Linked DNA regions of Coturnix japonica. The protein of the gene in region 1 purifies or fractionates together with the protein of each later gene. This does not show direct contact. Links are inferred from orthologs where the notes say so. Each region holds a gene or a part of one and is shown in the gene's direction. Other genes may lie near its edges. The genes, in order: ATP11C and TMEM30A.

The links.
Region 2: the proteins of ATP11C (region 1) and TMEM30A purify together in Homo sapiens (co-immunoprecipitation; 4 studies listed by BioGRID and IntAct, with this or other methods). This does not show direct contact. The link is inferred for Coturnix japonica from reciprocal best matches to the Homo sapiens genes ATP11C and TMEM30A.

What each region holds. Positions count from the first base shown.
Region 1 is NC_029519.1:4,921,507-4,931,587, reverse strand, and holds part of ATP11C (phospholipid-transporting ATPase IG), read left to right. Parts: coding exon 1-67; intron 68-432; coding exon 433-583; intron 584-1,440; coding exon 1,441-1,638; intron 1,639-2,706; coding exon 2,707-2,868; intron 2,869-3,072; coding exon 3,073-3,230; intron 3,231-3,517; coding exon 3,518-3,589; intron 3,590-4,157; coding exon 4,158-4,231; intron 4,232-4,435; coding exon 4,436-4,539; intron 4,540-5,198; coding exon 5,199-5,380; intron 5,381-6,250; coding exon 6,251-6,514; intron 6,515-6,785; coding exon 6,786-6,960; intron 6,961-8,085; coding exon 8,086-8,188; intron 8,189-9,402; coding exon 9,403-9,548; intron 9,549-9,937; coding exon 9,938-9,997; intron 9,998-10,081. UniProt on the Homo sapiens protein: Catalytic component of a P4-ATPase flippase complex which catalyzes the hydrolysis of ATP coupled to the transport of aminophospholipids, phosphatidylserines (PS) and phosphatidylethanolamines (PE), from the outer to the inner leaflet of the plasma membrane.
Region 2 is NC_029518.1:73,685,849-73,696,525, forward strand, and holds the end of TMEM30A (cell cycle control protein 50A), read left to right. Parts: intron 1-675; coding exon 676-792; intron 793-1,439; coding exon 1,440-1,547; intron 1,548-2,051; coding exon 2,052-2,139; intron 2,140-2,542; coding exon 2,543-2,686; intron 2,687-3,761; coding exon 3,762-3,968; intron 3,969-6,056; coding exon 6,057-6,250; 3' UTR 6,251-8,336; downstream 8,337-10,677. UniProt on the Homo sapiens protein: Accessory component of a P4-ATPase flippase complex which catalyzes the hydrolysis of ATP coupled to the transport of aminophospholipids from the outer to the inner leaflet of various membranes and ensures the maintenance of asymmetric distribution of phospholipids.

The sequences.
Region 1 (10,081 bases):
CCGGAATGGAGACAAAAATGGCTTTGAACTACCAAGGGAAATCTCAGAAACGCTCTGCTGTGGAAAAGTGAGTACAGCAGACAGAGATGGGTAAAAGCTGTGGCTTTCTTCATGGGTGATTTGCACAGAAATAATCCCCCAATCTGCCGCCTGTTGTTTCAGATGCTTTCTGACTTTCCGTGCAATCTGTGTGTTTGATTAAGCGTATCTTTCAAGGAGCTGCATCATTTAGTAGCTTTTTTTTGTTGTTGTTTAAATAAAAAGGACATAGGGAATGTTAAGCTATGTGAACTGACCCTGAGTATCAGCAGTGTCCAAAGCACTTGTCCTGTAATTCCCTTCTGAAAAGTAAGGAAGGCTTCTTCCTGCTTGTTTGCATGATTTTTCTATGTGAAAGTTGCAAGAATTGTAAAAAGGAACCTGTTTTTTCAGATCTATCAACGCTTTCTTGATAGTGTACTTATGCATCCTATTGAGCAAAGCTACTGTGTGCACGACTCTGAAATATGTCTGGCAGAGTAATCCATTTAACGATGAGCCTTGGTACAATGAAAAGACTAAAAAAGAGAGAGAGACGTTCAAGGTAAATGGATTTGTATTTCGGCACCTCCTCCAGCTGTATTTATTCTGACAGTTTTATTTAATCTGATCATGTCTGTTGCCAGTCCTGTGATGCCTGCTTGCTCTTTGGAAGCACTGTCACTTGCTGCAGTCTCTCCTGTTTGTGTTTGCCTCCTGTCTTGATTACTACCTGCCTCTCGTGCTTGTGTGCAGTGATGCTCTTAGCAAGGCTTGCTCTAACCCTGCTCGCACGCTGCTGTCCCCATCACCCTTGGGGCAGGCATAATGCACGCCAGGCTACTGACAGCAGGAGGATAACATCGTTTCCACCATGCAGAGATATTACATAAATGCAGCAGCTGATTTAACCTGGATCCTTATCTGAACTTGAGCTATCTTTCAGCTTTGAGTAGATAAACTTAAATTGAGGCCGTGTCAGCCAGGTTCTTAGACTTGCAGAGACGCATGCAGCCAAGCCTGAAGGAGTGAATGTGAGTGGGTGGGAATCAGCTGATGTAGTTGATTGTTGACTAGGACTTCAGGGATGTCACAGAATCAGTGCTTGACTGTTCTCAAACTACTTGCTGCCGATACCTGAGATGAGAATCAGATGAGAATCATCAATATGTGTACCTGAATAAAACGTAGATTTAGTCACTTGGAAACAGCGCTGTGTGCTCTTCTGTCATACTCCCATATATCTGCAAATGGCAAAGAGATTTCCTATATCAAAGGAAAGTACAATTTGGTCCTTTGTCTTAAATGTGTTCAGTTATTTTCAGAGGGCTTTTTTTCTATTTAACATTTAAAGAAATGCTGTCTCCCTGTGTTATACCTGACAAGCACAGACTGCATCTTCTTCTTGTCTTTCCATTGCAGGTGTTGCGGATGTTCACGGACTTTTTGTCCTTCATGGTCCTCTTCAATTTTATTATCCCGGTCTCCATGTATGTTACAGTAGAGATGCAGAAGTTCTTGGGCTCCTTCTTCATCTCTTGGGACAAAGAGATGTACGATGAAGAAATAAAAGAGGGAGCGTTGGTGAACACCTCAGACCTGAATGAGGAGCTCGGACAGGTCAGAACAGGCTCTGTTTGCATCTGCTTTGAGAGACGTCCCTGTGTTGGCAGGGGAACAGCAGCACAGAAAGAAAGCCAGAAGATGCTGCTGTAGCCACCAGCATGCCACACCGTGTACTGCCCCCTCCTGCTGTGGTGGTTGGTGCTTCTGGTGGTGGTTTATGTGCACCTGTATGTTTCTTGATAGCTGTGAAGACCAACTCATGGGCCACTGCTGCTGGAGTAATGTTCTCCCTGATAAGAGACCATGTTGTGGCAGTCCCTTGCAGTCCCAGCAGTACAGGGCTTCAGCCAGACTGGTGGCACTTTCCATTTAACGCGATTCCGCTAGCGGCACGAAGTTGGTAAGGTTATAAATAGTGTATGAAGGAGGAGGAACTGGGTCACGCCAATTGTTTCCATACTGGGGAATATCAGGCGTAGCACTTAGTGTGTCAGGATGGTTTGCTTTCACTGCTTCAATTAAAAGTCAGAAATTCTATGTCTCTTCAAGGATTAGCAAACACACCTGCCCAGTTATCTCCCTGGGCACACACTGCACGTGCAGCCATCCTGCTGCTGGCTTTGCTGGAGCAGTTGTAGCTTCTTTTTCTGAGTGTGGGATACGTATGGTGCCTCCTGCTTCTTATTTTGCTTTTAAAAATACTATCAGTTTGGAGTAGCAATTACGTGTGTATATAATATGGCACCAAGGAGGAAGTCCCACAGAGGAGGCAACAGATCTGCAGCAGCAGCTGTATGAGCACTGGGAGCCAGAGCAAAGAAGCCAAGAAGTAGGATGAGGGAGAACAAAAGGTCTTGAAGCAAGTTTTAGAAGCCTTTGGGTGCTGACTCCTGTCAGCTGTGCAATGGATTGAAGAATGAAGGAGGTAGTAGAATAGCCCAGTGTTGTCCACACAAAGCACCTGCATGTTTCTGGGGACCAGGTTAAGAAAGCAGCAAAGGGTTGGCACAGATGTATCAAACTGACCCAACCTTTCAGTTTGTGGAGGGCTGCTTCCACGTATGGCCCTGCTGCAATGACGGCTGCAGCAGTGCAGTGAGGTGGGTGTCTGATCTCTTCTAGGTGGAGTTTGTCTTCACTGACAAAACAGGGACGCTGACGGAGAACAGCATGGAGTTCATCGAGTGCTGCATAGATGGGCACAAGTACAAGGACTGCATTTCAGAGGTTGATGGCTTCTCGCAGACTGATGGACCCCTAAAATATTACGGCAAAGCAGAAAAGGTGAGAAATCTGCATCTTTAAAGTGTTTTGTTGGTGGCTCCAAGCTAGGGGTCAGTGCATGGTCTATTACTGCTGAAGTCGTGGGGGTGGTTGGTGGGGTTTTTTTGTTTTGAAATACATACACACAGCAGTGGTAACCAGCTGCTCTGAGGGGGATGGGATGCATGGCACAGAGCTAATCGTGGGCCCTTTCTCCATCCCTAGAGCCGAGAGGAGCTGTTCCTGCGAGCCCTGTGCCTGTGCCACACAGTTCGGATCAAACAAGCAGACCAGGTGGATGGGCTGATAGGACACCCTGAGTGCAAGAACACCTACATCTCTTCTTCCCCAGATGAAATTGCTTTGGTGAAAGGCGCTGAGAAGTAAGAATCTGACGGTGTTGTGTTTTGTTTCATGTAAAGCTCCTGGAGGACCACGTATAGAGCCTCATGGCACCTTAGCAATTGTAATGTCCAACTTCCCAGGTTATGAGGGTGGTGCCAACATGTTAAATTTGGCTCTGCAAGCAGCTGCCCAAACCTTCTAGCTTGGGCTTGGTAACTTCTTACCTCTCCTCAGCAATACAGATCATGAAATGAGAAGTCTGTTAATGTGTAACACACGCCAATGGGTGCTCTCAATATTGTTCTGTCCTCTTGTTTATTGACAGGTATGGTTTCACTTTTCTAGGACTTGAAAATGATTTCATGAAAATCCGAAACCAAAAGAATGAAACTGAAATGTAAGTGCCACAGGGCCTGCCAGGAATATTGCTGCCAGGGGTTGAATGGACTCTGTTCAGCTTTGTTTCTCACGTGGGTTAATTAAGCTCAGTCAGCGTGTTAAACCAGGCAAGGTCAGAACTGCTCAGCAAAGGCTGTCAGACCAGTTACCGACCTGCCCAGCCCCTGCTCCTTTGTGCAGTGAGCAGGGTGAAGGGTTTGCTTGCAAAGGCTTGCTGTCAGTCCTTAGGAAGCCTCTAGATCCCTTGAGTGTGTGCTGTCCCTTGCAGTCTCCTTCCTTCCCCAGAACCTTATGGGTAGCAGCTGTGCCTTCAAGCGGGGCACAGCCTAAGCGGTGCAGTATGGCTCCCAGATGGAAAATTATTTGGTTTTACCCTGTGCTCACAGCTCTTGTGACATCCACATGCGTGCAAGAAACTGGGAGTGAATTGCCTAACCCCAGTGCTCCCATACTGTTTGTCCCCCAAGCAAGTTTCACTTCTCTGGATAGTCAGTGTGCAGCTGTCCTCAAGAGCTGTTTTCCTTGTGCTGAGCCTAAGGTCAAATTCTTTTCTTCCTTTTTTAAAGGTACCAGCTTCTCCATACGCTGAACTTTGACCCTGTCCGTCGTCGTATGAGTGTCATTGTGAGAACCACCACAGGTACAGCTACACTCAATAGTTCAGCCCAATATCAAAGAATGTTTTGTGCCAGGTGTCAGACCACTTTTGGGAGCCTTCTAGCAGTTCCTCCTTTAGTTCTACTATACTTTTTCTTCTGTATCTCTTGCTGGTATTGAAGCCAATGTCCTTTAAGCCTTTCTATGGCTTTTGAATGCTATAAACTACTTATAACTTTGCTTTTAGGAAAGCTGCTTCTCTTCTGTAAAGGAGCAGACTCCTCTATTTTTCCAAGAGTGCAGCAAGAGGAAATCCAACAAACTAAAGTCCACGTGGACCGCAATGCTATGGTGAGCATGCAGTGGGGAAATGGCTGGCTCTGGGGTCAGGAAAGTTGTATGCCAAAAATAGGGATGTGACCTCGCTTTGGAGGGAAGTACTGAAGATCTGAGTGTCACTCCGTATTGTTTTGAAGCCTGGTTTCTTTCCTTTTTTGTTTCTTTGACTTCCATGTTTATTTGACTTTTGATATACTTATATGGGTTTGATCGCTGTTGTGTCCCCGCATCTCCCGAGCAAGTTAAAAATAGCACTAACAATAGCACACTGTTTGCTCTGGTGGGAGGAATCATTGTGTCGGTTGTGATGTGCGTGTGAAGGTGGAAGTGAAGCCTGTGCTGGGAGGCTGATCTGGCAGTGGTGGTGGTGTGGGAGGGTGGCCATTTCTTGGCTCTAGGTGCAGGGGCATTCAGTTGTCCCAGCTATGTGCAAGATCTCTGCTCTGGCCTTGCCCTTGTCTTATGTCTGCTGTGCTACGTGCATGCGTGTATGCTCTGATGTGAAGAAGTTACTATGTGAACACAGCTGCTGTCTTCTGACTTAAGCCATCCGTCTTTATAGTCAGGTTCAGTACTGACAAAGTGCTGACAGAAGTGCTGGCCCTAAGGTGGGGAGCTGCACAAAACAGGGTTTAAGGGCAGTTGTCTGCTTCTTTTTCCACCCCTACAAGGATGGCTACCGAACGCTTTGTGTGGCATTCAAGGAACTAACTCAAAAGGAATATGACAGGATTGACCGGCAGCTTAATGAAGCAAAGATGGCTCTGCAGGACAGGGAAGAAAAGATGGCAAAGGTCTTTGAAGACACAGAAGCAGACATGCACTTGATTGGGGCGACTGCTGTAGAGGACAGGTAAACAGGCACCAGCACACAGACCAAGCGTGTTGGTACCCATGTTTTCTTCACAACTTTGTGTTGTGGTGGGCCCTTGCTTTCTTGCGTGAGCTGTGGTGAGATTCCTTTGCAGCCTGGGTTGGCATTCCCCTGGGAGCAGTGGGAGAAAACTTGGAGCATCCCCATGAGAGCTGAGCAGCAGGGCAGAGGTTGGGAGCATGCAGTGGCAATTACTCAGTGGTACAACCCGTTACATACTGCCTAGCTGCTAAAATCAGCTACTGCAGGGGTTAGGATTTATTAGCGAAACCACAGAAGTACTCACACTTCTACAAAGTGAATGAATGCATGCAGCCTCAATTTACACATCAAAACAAATGCAGTTTTGTTTGCAGTTACAGTAAGTGCATGTGTAAATTAACCTCATATTCTTGACTCTTGGGTCTTGTAGTATAATGCGGTGATTTCTGTCTGCATGTAAAAAACTTGGGATTGCTGAGCTCTAATCCTTATTCCTGTGGCAGTATCTCTTCAGTGTGGGGACAATCAATTAACTTCTCCCTAGCTTACATTCCCTACCTGCAAAATAAGGATTCCCCAGGGGGCTTTGTGGATTAAGAGGCGGTGTTGGCTAAGCCTCTTTACACCCATCGAGTGCTGTATCTCAGAAACATGTTTCTGAGGTTCCTGCCTGGGGCCTGCAGGGAAGGGCTTTACAGCCTTCTCTGAAGGTCTCGTTTATCACAACTCTCTTGAGTTGTGCACGTAGTGTAGAGCTGCTCTGGGGTCATCCTGCTTCTGTCCAGCGGTGTGGTAGTGGCTGCTCAGAGTCTGCCTTGCATCCAATGCCAGCCTGAGCAGTGAGGTTTTTTTTCTCTCTGCACTCAGGCTGCAGGAACAGTCAGCAGAGACGATCGAAGCTCTGCATGCTGCCGGCATGAAGGTGTGGGTACTGACAGGGGACAAGATGGAGACAGCCAAGTCCACCTGCTACGCCTGCAGGCTCTTCCAGACTAGCACTGAGCTGCTGGAGCTGACGGCCAGGGTGGTAGGTGAGAGCGAGAGGAAGGAGGACCGGCTGCACGAGCTGCTGATGGACTACCACAAAAGGCTGATCCAGGATGTTCCCAAACCCCGGGGTAGCCTGAAGAGGTGAGTGGTGAGATCTGAGCCTGTGTCTGTTGGGAGACACGCTGCTTGCAGTCTCCTTTGCTTTAGCTGGCTTTGAACTTAATTATGCAGCTCCCTTAGCGAAGGATGTGTGCTAAATCTAGGTTATTTTATGATGTCTAAGTCCCCCAGAAAGGATGAGAGAAAGATTACTACACAAGTAGTTCCTTTTCCACTGAGATGATAAAAGCAGCTGGATTGACTTGTTAGAATGATTTTCTTTATTCCAAATCTGTTCCTTGTTGTGTCCTAGAAGCTGGACGCTGAGTCAAGAATACGGCCTGATCATAGATGGTTCAACACTGTCGCTGATACTCAATCCTTCTCAGGATTCCAGTTCTAGTCATTACAAAAACATATTTCTACAAATCTGCCTGAAGTGTACAGCAGTTCTGTGCTGTCGGATGGCTCCTCTGCAGAAAGCACAGGTGAATTCCTTTTTGGTTTCTTTTCCCACTAACTGAAGCATGTCGTTAAGTGATACAACACACCTTTACTCCATTGGATGAAATTGATCTGCAAGTGGGCTTCAAAACCTGCAGTGAGACAACTTTGTAAACCACATCAGACCTGGTTTCTTGGTTTTTTTTGGAGGGTCAGCTGCCATCACTGGGCAGTAGATGTCCAAGTTGAGAGAAAGGCTCCTGAAGGGGTGTTGCAAAGCAGTTTGTTATTCCCCAGGGAGCAGGAAGCAGTGCACCTGGCACAGGAATTCACAAATCCAAAAGGCAGCGGTGTTGCTAGAACAGTCTGACTTGCAGATTTACCAGGAAGATGAAGCAGGGCGACTTTTAGGGTAGCACAAAACCTTCAACAAGTTGTAGTCAAGTATTCCTTTCATTAAAGACGTGGTAGATGTAACCACTGATTATTTCTGTATAACGGTGTGAGGCTGCGTTTCCTGCAGTGCTGCTTTAAATAAAGCTTACTCATCTTGATCAGCCAGGACTTCCCCAGGCTATGTATTAGCCTTGTCTGAACTTCAGAGCGTTATGGAAACACACCAGTCTTTCAATTATGAATATAAAACCTTTCTTAAATACGCTTGCAGGAAGCCACAAGCCCAAGCCAATTAGGAATAAACAAAACCCATTTGTTCTTTTTTTTTCCTTTCCAAATCTGTAGTCCATGACTTCCTCACACCAGCTGATGATAAAGGATTATAAACAGTGCATTTTTAGCCCTGCTGCAGGGTATGACTGTCTTCCATGTGAAATGCATGAGAGGCCACATCTCTGTGAGAGAGCAGGGTCTGGCAAGGGGGAAGGGGAGGCTGCTGCTGGGAGTGATTTGTTTCTGCATGCTGTCCTTCAGCCTTGTGAAGCTGGGTCTTGGCTTTTCCTTTGATTGATGGCTGCAGAGGAAATAGTGAGGGTGTTGATTAATCTGAACTCTTTATTTGGCTGCCACAGAGCAAGGTTATTTGTTCAGGAGTGTCTGGGGAGTTGCAGGGGTCTCTGGAGGTGGGGTATTTTTCAGTGTGGGGTTATTTGTTTGTTTGTTTTCCTACTGAACTTTTTGGGTTGTGCTGCTATCCTGTTTTAAATCTTTAGATTGTGCGAATGGTGAAGAACACAAAAGGGAGCCCAATAACGCTGTCAATAGGGGACGGTGCGAATGATGTCAGTATGATTTTGGAAGCACATGTTGGAATAGGTAAGACCCCCTGATACACCTATCTGATACCTAGGGCTGCTATCAGTCTGTGTTGCTTATGTTTGCTGTTGTAACTGATCACACATGGCTGAACTAATCCCAATTGACAGATGGGGAACTTACCTGCTGCTTTCAGAGGGCTTTTGGTCTGGATCGGTGCTAGGGATCATGGTAGGCTGCTGCCCTTTGATAGGCACGTTCTCTTTGTCTTTACCACGTGGTGAACTGCAGATTGCTTCTTATGCTTTAGTTCCCACTGGTGAAATAATGGGGTTTTCTGCTGTCCTCTATGCAAACAAAGGTTGATTCTATTTTAAATGAAACAAGGTAACTTCCTCTGACCTTTATTTCACCATTAAAGCCAGTGCTGAGAGCTTCGGTGGGATCGTACCCATTCAACTCAGCTGAGCTGTAGCTGGCATTTGTCCTCTACCCAGGTGTGTGCTGGAGCTTGGCAGCTCTGATTGCAGCTGCAATGTGTGCATTTTCCAAGGGCTGATGCTGGGCTGTGCTGTGCCTGCCCTGTCCATATTCCTGATATCAGGCTGGAAAACAGCTGAATTTCATATCTAAATTTCTGCAGATTGTTGTCAGAGACTGTGAAAGTACTGGCAGTTTTTAAATACCACTGAAGAGGGATGTCCTTTGTTTTCTAACCACCCTCTTTATTTCTGACTGTTGGGAATGGCATGTTAGCCTCTAATGAATAGAATCCTTCACTGTAGTTAATTTGGATGTGGTTTTTGAGTGAACAAAACTGGCTTTCTTGAGCTTTGCTCTGAGGGGATCTCTTGGGAGGCTGAGCTTCTGCAGTGTAATAACCACACTGCTAGATGCGGGTAGGCCTGGGGGAAACCTTATCTTTTATTGGGTTTATCTGAGATGCTCGTCATCACGTGCTCCTACAATAAGAACTCAGTTAGCAACCTAAGTTCAGATTAAAAACTCCAGAGGATTGTCACAGAGCCAAGGTCATACCAAGTACTGCAGAGCTTTAGTGTTTGGCTCTCCTCTACCTGCTGCCCCTGTCCCTAAAGGGTCAGTCCCAGCGGCTGGGTACACAGGGTGACATGGAGGCATTTAAAGTGTAAAAGTCTTAAAGAACCACCAAGGAAACACAGCCTTTGTCATGGCCTGAGGCATTGAATTATGTGACCAAATTTCACAAGTAGCATCAGGATAAATTCCAGTCCTTGCCTTGCTTTTGTCTCCAGGTATAAAAGGCAAAGAAGGACGTCAGGCTGCAAGAAACAGTGACTATGCTGTTCCAAAGTTTAAACACTTAAGAAAACTGCTACTAGCACACGGGCATTTATATTATGTGAGAATAGCACACCTTGTACAGTATTTCTTCTATAAGGTAAGAATCAGCTCATTATTTTTGTTTTCACTGTGGGTTTTTCTGACAACAGAAGTAGTGTAAAACAGATGATGTATGGGATACTCTGTTTTTTTTCCATCTGGGGTGAGTGTGTGTCTCCCATGTGCCTGTTAATTGAAAGCCCTTTATATACCAATATATGGGGGAATGTGAGAGCATGGCTTTCTTCCTTTGCCATCTGCTGATGCTACAAGCTTATTGAATTAGTGTAGTGCTTGGTAGAAAACAGTGTCCTGCTTTACCTGATAGTACAATATCAGATAATGCTATCTGAGAATAGAAAAAAATACTGGATTTAGATGGGAAGTCAAGCATTCACTAAACTCATGAACACTTCCCTGCTAACCTTTCTTTTTTCGTTTCTCTAGAACCTTTGCTTCATTTTACCACAATTTTTATACCAGTTCTTCTGTGGATTCTCACAGCAGGTAACTTCCAGTAACGTATCTAAAAAGACAGGATAAAAAGCCAGTCACACAGCGAGGCTTCCTAGCAAAAGCTTGACTTTTGGT
Region 2 (10,677 bases), on another chromosome or scaffold:
GAGAGCTCTTGAGTGCCCAGGGAGGCTGTGGATGCCCCGTCCTTGGAGGTGTTCAAGGCCAGGTTGGACGGGGCCCTGGGCAACCTGATCTAGTAAATGTGTATGTTTGGTGGCCCTGCCAGGCAGGGGGGTTGGAACTACATGATCCTTGAGGTCCCTTCCAACCCGGCTCATTCTGTGATTCTGTGATTCATTAAGCGGTCTTTGAAAAATCTGATGGAGTGCCTAAATATAGGCAGTAAATAAAAGTTTTCTTAAGCAAAACTTTTTTCTTATTTAATATCTTTGTAGGCTTTTAAAAATGAGACTTCTCTGGAAAGCATGTAGCAGGTTAGATCTGCTTGTTATATACTGAGCGTGTTTGGTGGTGCCATGAGTATCTGCTCAGTGTGTTTTGGTGGGTTGTTTTGTTTGTTTCTTTCTCTTCTTTCCCAGCATTAATGGCCCACACTGGTGCCAGATTTGTCTGAGGCTGGAACAGAATATGCAGTCAGAATCACAAAATAGTTTGGGTTAGAAGGGATCATGAGATCATCAAACAGAGCTTTTGGAACTGAGATGTAGTAATACTGCAAAATAAATGCCACACCGATTTCTCTTGCTTATTAATCAATTTTATTTGCTTTCTCACTCTAAACTAATGTGGATTTTTTTTTTTTTTTTTTTCTGTTATAGATTGATTATACAGGAATAGAGCCTTCCAGTCCTTGCAACAAGTGTTTAAATGTGTCCTGGGATAGCACACCGCCTTGTACCTGCACAATCAATTTCACACTGGAACATTCATTTGAGGTACATAACCTTGCATGCAAAGTGAAATGAGATCTGCTGATGTGGTTTATTTTGTAAGTGATAGGAAAATTGCATTCTCACAGCCTTACTTTGTGTCTGCCTTGAAGGATTATTTCTAGTATTCCTATGAACTTGGATTTGATGGCTGTGTGTCTTTTCATTAGCAGAGATGAGATGGTTTTTAGTGCCTCTCTATCTGGAATTGCAGTGTTAAGTGGGACACGTGTCTTTTACACATCTGGATTTACTGTCTGTGTCCTAGGTGGGCGTCATATACTTGACATGTAGATAAGCTATTCCTGCACAACTTAAACTGAGTTCAGCAGGAAGCAGCAGCACTAGATGCATTCTTTGAGGCAAATAATGAGGCTTATGTGCTTGGTGTTGGACAAGGTAAGTATTGGGATAGTACTGATGAATATCCTGCTGCTGGTTTATGGCATGTTGATATTGTTTGACTTCAGGATGCCAGCTTTTGTTGGGATAGTATTGTGTGTATTCAGTACAAAGAGAGTCTTTGAGCATCACTACTGTGAGTGTTACTATAAAGTAAATACAATTTAAGAGGTTGGATTTCCAGGTTTCAGTTAACCAGCATGTTTGTGTGTTTTATTGACCTGTTGTGTAAATCAAAACCCTTCTTGTAGAGTAACGTCTTCATGTATTACGGACTTTCTAACTTCTATCAAAACCACCGTCGCTATGTGAAATCTCGAGATGACAGCCAACTCAACGGAGACAACAGCTCATTACTTGTAGGTATTCGAGCTTTGATATTTACAGATACTAGTAGGCAATGAACAGCTGACTTGCATAAGTTATCACAGGGCAGAATAACTAGTTTAATAATAACGTAGCTGTAGAATTTTTGTATTCAACAAACAATAAGGTATTCATATTTTTTATTAAAAATAATAAACGTTCTTTTATTTATTAAATTCTTAATTCTTTTATTTATTAAAAATAAATAACATTCCAGTTAGAACATTTTTTCCCCTCTTTTAACAGTTTCTAAGCACAGTCTTAATTTTACAATGACCATCATGGGATTTTTGACTTTATTCATATTTTATCTAGAATATTTTCCTGCTTGTAAAGAAAAAAATCAATCATATCGATTAGCAATGAATGCTGAAGTATATGTAAATAAACTCACTCCTGAGAATATTTTGTAGTAAGTGTGAGCTGTGTACGTGTGTGAAGTACTGAAGTATAAACTAGCACAGACTGATCTGCCTTTTTTTCTTTCTAACTGTCAGAATCCAAGTAAGGAATGTGAGCCTTACCGCACCAATGAGGATAAACCCATTGCTCCCTGTGGGGCTATTGCCAACAGTATGTTTAATGGTACGGTAACACTTCTGAGTTTAGCACTGAGGTGTTTTTGTGTTGTGTATGCTTTGTACTGATGCTTTATTCTGGGTATTATTGTGGATTGTTTTGTTTTGAATTAACACACCTTAATTGTTTGGAATGTTGAGATTAAAATACCATTAATAACCACCACAGTGAATTTAACCTGATAGCACACAAGGGATTGAAACATCTGTTGTGAGTGGCTGTTATGGCTGTGGAATAAAGATGCTATACATGTATAACGCACTGCTCTGTATGTGTGTGGATTATTACAGAACAGTTCTTGATTGTGGCAATTTGTTTTTCCTGTAGATAATTATTTTACTGCCTATCAGGATCATTCATCTAATAAAAGCCACTCTTATCTGGTCTTCCAATTTGATTTTCCCCATAGATACATTGGAATTGTACCACATCGAAAACGACACAAGGACCGCTATTACTTTGATTAAAAAAGGCATTGCGTGGTGGACAGATAAAAATGTGAAGTTCAGGAATCCTACAGGAGATGGAAAGAATTTAACTGCGCTCTTCCAAGGTAAGAAATGTGTGAAATTTTAAGAACAAAAGATTTCAAACACATTGATTGCCATGGACTTCACCTCAATGGTGACATTGTAGTGAACATGTTAAATATATTGTTCTATGAAGAAGTCCAAGCTAAGGACTTCTCTGCTTTCTGGAAGAGTTGTCTGTTAACAGTGGATGCTGCAAATTTAATGCAGAACTAATATAATTTTTTCTAAATTCACTGTAGTCATTTAACATGTAAAAATAGAACCTGGGCTTATTTCCTGTTTAATCTTTCTGAACTTTCATGAAAGCTCTTTCTGTCAGTTGCTTGGCATCAGATTAGTTTTGCCTTAGCAACTAATCCAATTTGTTAAGATGGTGAAAAGATTCTTGGCTTAAGTGATATTTCAATTACTTGTTGCCGTTTGGGATCTTGAAATATCAAATCAAATTCTGATATATATATATGTGTGTGTGTGTGTGTATATATATATATGTATATATATAATAGCTCTTGATAACTTTTTATGCCTTGAATACTGAGAAAATCCTCGTTAAGTGCAGTGCTATAATACGTGGTTTTAACTTCAGAAGAAATCCTGTGATTATTTAACCAAACTGTGTGAAATTTTCTTTTTTAATGTTTCTACTGGTAGATCTTACAGTGCTTTTTAAAATCTGATTATTTGTGATCAGATTAACTGATTTTTCTCAGTTATAAGGTTAAATGTAGTTAAGTACAGCCTGGTAAGTCGGAGTTTCTTTGACAAAGTCTAAAAGCAGTTTTCCTTCTGGGCTTTTGGGTCTGTGTGTATATGTAAGATAGAAAATAGCTCTAGGTTTAGCCTGATATGTCTTGCTTGCTTAGTCACAGCCAAGTGACCTTACCAAAGTGATGTTACCCTTGCAAAGGCAGATGCCATACTCTAATGTTCCTGAGCAGTTCAGTAATCTTGCAGTAGCAATGAGCCAGTCTGGCTCTTCGTACTGCTTAGGATTCACTGCATGTTTTTTATGATACTAGAATGAATTTTGGTGATCCAGTGCTTCATTTAGTCCTGTGTTTGAAATGCTTTATTGTTGTTTTTGTTTAATCTTAGGTACAACAAAACCAGTCAACTGGCCCAAACCAGTGTATATGCTGGACTCTGAGCCTGACAACAATGGCTTTATCAATGAAGACTTTATCGTGTGGATGCGTACTGCTGCTCTGCCAACATTTCGTAAGCTGTATCGTCTCATTGAGAGGAAGAGTAACTTACAGCCTACCTTACAGGCTGGAAAATATTCTTTGGATATCACGTACAGTATCCTTTGAAAATGCCCTTAAAAACTCCTTAGAACACTGTCTGGGTTACATGGGTGGACTTTTAAGGAAGGTTAAATCAAATGAGACTTTATAATTGCTGTCTTCTGCATATAGTTTATAGAACTAACTTATGTTTGTTCTGTTAAGATCATGAAATTCAGTTCCGTAGCTTCATAAAGGGAAATGACTGGGTCATCTTGACTTCAGAATGGCCACCTGAAGCATGGAGTTGTCTGAGCTAGTTATGCTAAAGTAAGAAGTAGCTCTAATTAAAAACCAAAATCCATTGTTCTAGGAAAGAGAGAAAGCTTTCTTTGATGCATAGGAGGGATGTGACAGTCTGCAAAAACCATGTTCCTGTCTCATGCAATCACTCAGACTTGTGGTATGTCTGTGGCTATACCATATAGAAAGTCACAAAGAATTTACTATATTATAGAAGTTGACTTTATGGTGAAGGTTTTGCCAAGGTGACTTTCGTAGAATCATAGAGTCACTCAGGTTGGGAAGGACCTTAAAGATCATCAAGTCCAACCGCAGCCTAACCATGCTACCCTAACTAACAGCCCTCTGCTAAGTCATGACTCTGAGCACCACATCCAAATGGTTCTGAAACACATCCAGGGATGGTGACTCAACCCACCTCCCTGGGGAGCCTATTTCAGCGCTTAACAGCCCTTTCATTAAAGAAGTTTTCCCTGATATCCAGCCTAAACTTATCTGGTGCAACTTGAGGCCATTTCCCCTCATCCTGTCACCAGGGAGATCAAGTATCTTTTTGAGAATATTATTCTTTAGAAATGTAGGATTTTACCTCTTGTGTTTCATTTTTAACTTAAAGCACATCACACTTGCCTGATGACGAGGGTGGAGGGAGAAAAACACAATGCTGCGGAGTCAGCTGGATCTTCAGATACAATCTAATACAGGAATGACTTGTAAATTTGTAGCCTTATTGCAAGTTTTTTCACTTAGGCTCATATTCTTCAATGTAAATACAGTTTTAATCATAATTTTCTTAAACTATTGTGTAGCTCTCATAGAACTGCATTATGTATTTAATGAGGATGAAAATATTATTTGGATTTTTTTTTTTGTTTCTGTTTTCAGAGATCACAAAATGGGGGGACAAAAAAAAAAACAACAGCACCCCAGTCTTCTAAAGAGGCCTTTGTGAGATTATAAATTAATATCAGGGAAGATTTCAGTGCAAAATTTGCCAGTAAGCAAATGAAGGACACTAGTCTAGACACTAGTGTCTTCTCAGTATGCTTGAGTGCTTAGAGGGGTATGGTCAGCCTCATTCACCCTTAGTCTCACACAGCTTGTTCACATATGTGGCTCCTTGCAGTCCCTGCTGCCTGCTTCAAGGGATTGAGGCTGCAGTCTTTGCATGGGAGCATTTTCATGTGATAATTTTTTGGGTAGATACAGAAGCAGACAGACTGCAGTCTAACAGGAAGATGTGTAGGCATAGTTCAGGTGATGCTTTGCTTGAGCTGTTAATTTAGAGGTGAAGAGCTCAGAATTTAGAGGCCAGAGCTGTGGATCAGGTGCACATCTGTCATTCCTTTTTGGGCACACAAAAGATGAGGTAGTTATGTAGGAGACTAGAGGAGGCAGGTTGTCATAGTTACTGAATTCTTAAAACTCGAAAGCTCCTGAAGATCATTAAAGTACTCACTGCAGTATTTTTCTTCCCTGCAAAACAGCAGAGAGTGCGTGTAAAAAAGAGTCTATTTATTATTTATCTATTTATTCACTAGGAAAAACTAAAATACAGATTTCAATTCCTCAGTGTATTTTCTTCATTTTATTGAAGTTCCTTTCAAAGGCCCATGAAACTGCATTTACTTTCCACTTACAAAGTGAATAACCCCTGTGGCATTTTTCTTGGAGTAGTTGACTGTGCCCAAGTTAATCTTTTTTTAAAAGAACAGCTACTTTGAAGCTACTTTGAATATTCAAAGATGTTTGTGTCGGGAGCCTGAGTCAGATAATCCAACATGTTAGTGTGCCTGATTAAGTTAGGTTTGGAAATGCACTTCATGTTTCTTGTTTTCCTATATTCCTTGTTTTCTCTCAGATTATCCCGTGCACAGTTTTGATGGACGAAAAAGAATGATCCTAAGCACAATCTCATGGATGGGAGGCAAAAACCCCTTCCTGGGCATTGCGTACATCACTGTTGGGTCCATATGCTTCTTCTTAGGAGTTGTATTGCTGATCATCCATCACAAATATGGAAATAGAAACACCAGTGCAGACATTCCCAATTAAAGTCGCGTTTTGAAAGCAACTATGCTGCATGTGCATCAAGGCCAGTCCAGAACGGACCCAGCTGTTGGAAGATAAATCTCTGCTAATGTCACTTCTGGGGCTGGGTATATAATTTTATCTAAAGATCTCCTTTCCCCCTTGCTGTGGATTAACTCTCAGAATGACGGGTATACAATTAGCTGTATTGATTGTATCTCTGCATTTGTCAGAAACAGTTTTCTGATCTTTGCCTCTGGCTGGGCAGGCCATTTGATGCATGTAGCTCCGGTTCCCTTGATGCATCTGCTGCTTGTCATGTGCTGTGTAACGTCAGTATGATTCAGTACATACAGATTGTGGAGAAGACTGTTGTAAGATACCATGTAAATTGTTCATTTAGCAGAATTTGAGTGTCATTGCTTTTGAAAGGAAAAGGCAAGTCTTAAGTGTTTTTTTCAATTTATTGTCTTGTGTGCATGGACTCTTACATTTCCGGATGAGATTTTAATATATTTATATTAGCAGTTAAATGTTCTTTCCTGTGTCCTACCCACCTTTGTTACGTTAGATTCTTTAAGTGCAGTGCGAATTGCAACACATGGAATTCCTGTTAATAGTTGCAACAGATGTGCCTGGCCAGTAAAATGGCATTCTATAAAGGCATCGGGAAACCTATTTGTTCATTATCTCTATGAGTTCCTCTTAAATTTTGTTCTAAACTGGGAGATGTTTGTTGCAGGTAGAACCTGCTGTTTTGTTGTTCTCTTTGCTTTAAGTTATATCCAGTTTTCCTGATGTGCTTTGCTGGTTTTGCTTTTTAAAGAGTACCTCCATGCAGTAAGCAAGATGAATCTAAAATGTCTGTTCAAGTCACAGACTTGAGTGAATTCCTTTCACTAAGAGTTTCTTGAAACATGTATTCTGCTGAGCAGGCTTTGTTGTAAAGGAAATCTCACGTTCTGTTTCCTTATATGGAGTAGATGCCACAATAAATTCTTGCAGTGTTGAGATACTGAACTGTAGAAATTGAGAAGCTGAGATGACAGTGATCTTTGTTATTCCAGTGCAGCTTATGTTTGCAGTGAAACCTAATTGAAATATTGCAGTTAGAAGCAGTGAGGTTTAGTGTCATAAACAGCAGAAGGGTTCACTTCTAGGTTAATTTGAAGCTAGTTAATCTATAAAATACTATCTGATTTCTTTTTAGATGATGCACAGAAATTGTAATGTATATGGTGGAGATCACTTTATATGCAACTAGCTTCGTAAGTACTGAGTGTATTAAAAATACCTAATAAATTCTGCAAACCATTTATTAAGAGATTTTACTTTCTTCTTGAACGTGCATTTATTTTCATCTGGGTGAAAAGCCATTCTCATGAAGAATGAATGCGTTTTAAGCAAGTTGTATTTCTCAGTTACAAAAAATCAATGTAACATCTACAGCCATCTTTATACAACACTGTATTAATCTAGCACATAAATGCAAAACTATATTTAGTCAATTACTTGTGTAATGTTTTTCAGCTTGCGGTTTACGTGTTTAGGTCTGCATACACTGCAGGATGAAGCAGTGTTTCCATGGTGCTGGCTTTCTGTATAAGCATATAATTTGCTTACACAGTACATTGTGGTAGCGCAGGGCTTTTAAACATTCAGGTCTTCTAGATTTTTTTGCAGTGCTGTATCTGTTGCTGGAAATATAGGATAAAGATATAGAACTGTATATTGCAAGGTTGGAAGGTTGCACAAGATGTTAAGCTGGCATTCCTCTGGAGAACAGTTTAGTCCAAAACAAAGTAGACAAGTAAGATGTTTCCCATTTACTGCTTACTAAAATATTTTGATTTTTAAACCATTTGTCACTTGAAAGGTAAATGTTTTGCTTTATTCATGACCCCTTTTCTGAGCAGGGAATGCTGGTTTTTGGGCTGCGTTCAAAATGGAAAAGAATATTTCTCTATCTCTACCTAGAAATGTTTTTCATTGCTTTTTTCTTTTCCTGTTGAGCACAGCTGTCACTGCTGTTTGGATCTTCTTAATGAAGTGCACCAAGAAGAATTGCTGAATGTTTGTTCTTGCTACAAATAAAGCCTTTTTTCTGAAAGCCTGTAGCACAAAATACTTGTCAGTATGCAGTGGCGCAGTGGTAGGAATGCTGCGTTGCAACACTGGAGGCCCGAGTTCGAATCCCCCCTGTGGCACAAGTGGTAGAAGCGCCGCTCTGCTACACAGGAGGCTCGAATCCCAGGGGTTGGACTCAATAATCTCTAAGGTCCCTTCCAACCCGCACAAGACTATGATACTATGATACTATGAATATGAACATTATGCCCAAGGAAGTCAAAATATTAGGTCTAACTTGTAATCTCTTACTTTACTCTTCTTCGTTTGCCTTGGTAGCACGTAGGTAACTACTGGGATTCTTAGACTTTGCGTTTCCTGGAAGCTGCCAATGTGTCATGTGTTCAAAGACAAAGCCACAGTGTCCCTGTCTGACACTTGTCAGGGCGGTGTTGCTGTCCCAGTGCTGTGTGCCGTGTGTTGGAGCTGACCACCTGTGCCCTGGTCCTTCAGTGACATCCGTTCCACACAACTGCTAGTGTTCAGATCTGGAAAGCAATGCCTCTCGTTTCCAAGTGCCAGCCAGGCACTTTCCAAATCCCACCCTGTTGAGGCAGTGCCCAAAGCATGAGATTATAGGCTTCCTGGAAGCAGGCGGTGTTAGGACATCCTACTTGTGAATGAATCTTTCCTGGAGAAATTAATGTGGGAAACTAGGATGTGTCTCTGTCTTACGCAGGAGCTTTTAAAACAAAATCCTTTGTGTGTGTCCATCTTCCTTCCAGCCTTGTTAAAATCTGCACAGCTGTAGCAAAGCAGAGGGCCCCTTGGGTACTTTTAAATTGCTTTGGGCTATTTGGAGAGCTGTTGGTTGTGATTAGCTGAGTCAGAGGGAAGAGTTATCGCCTTAAAACTTGAATGTGAAGAATTCTTTGTAGCCTTTGCCTCTGAAGGTCACATTGGTACTGAAACCACAGTGTCAGCAGCCTGGTTTTGCTTTAATTATGAATGTTAAACCTTGAAGAACACAAGGTTTGTCTTTTTATAGAAATCTTTGACAATCTAATGTCAGGTAACATCTGCTTGAGTCTGCCAAGTAGCAGAAAATGCCTGAAAATCTGATCCTACCTTGGTCCTACATAAGACCAATATCTTTTGTATTTGCTTTATAGAAATTCTATATTTGTTACTGTGTGTTGCTCTCTGCAACTCAACTAATTTTGAAGAGTTAGAAAGGAAGAGGGCAACAGTGCAGAAGCCTTCATCAATGTCCCAACAATAATAACAACAAATACATACCAAGGTAGTCCTATGAGGGGCTGTATCAGCCTAGTTACAATCAGTTACTTATAAATAAAATGACATTTTTGAGTGCTTGTGTCTGTGTTGAACAGCCTGCCAAAAGAAAACTCTTGCTTGGTAGGGGAAGGAAGTGAATGGTCAAGCTACTTTTATTCCAGCTGTCTTTTTAGCAATGTGGTCAATGTATGGACTCCTAAGATAGAAGGCCCCAGTTACATATCTTCCTTGGATCAGCAGAAGTACTTTCATGTTACAGTTCCATGCATTTTAGCTCACAGAATATGATTTAATTAACATAGTATGCCTTAAATGGGAGCTCTTGATGGTTTTGATTTAGATGGACTGTGATCATAAGCCTGATAAGAATCCATATCCTTATATGACCTGGGTCGCAAATAAGAAACTCTTTTCTTCTGCTCAACCAGCACATGAATTATAGTAATAATGTCTGTTGCTTGAGCTTATGCCAATTTCTGCTGTTGGAAATAGTTGTTCTCATTTTATGTTGGAAATAAGTAAGCAGAAATAAAAGCATGACTCGTAACTAATGAAGCTAAGGGGTTTTTATTATTATTATTATAGCAATTAATTTGAAAGAAAATGGATAGGATTTCTTCTTCCTAAACCCTGATTTCAGGTAAATGTGACCTCAAAGAAGCAAACTTAATACTAGAGTTACGTGCGAGACTAACTGATAGTGCTTGGATGTCACAGGATGAAATGGTGAGATGTTTTAAGTAATGTTGGAGGGCCAGGAAGATCATTGATGACCTCAATGATTCTCTTGGGAAAATATGAAAGATTGAGACGTGATATTTTTGGAAGAAATGAGAATATGAGAATCTAGGAGAAGCTTAAATGTCACGTCCACCTATCCCACTGCTCCAGGGCTTTCTACTTTGACTGGTAGGCTGAAAGTGAACTCAGGTGTTTGTGTATCATTTTAAACCCTGTTAAAAAAAGATTAAACTATTAATCAGAAACAGAAGAACAGCCCTGTTCAGTCAGGCTTAAACAAAACAGCCTAGCAGTGAGTTTTGATTACGAGTTTCATTATTTTTCAATGCAATGTATGTTAAAAT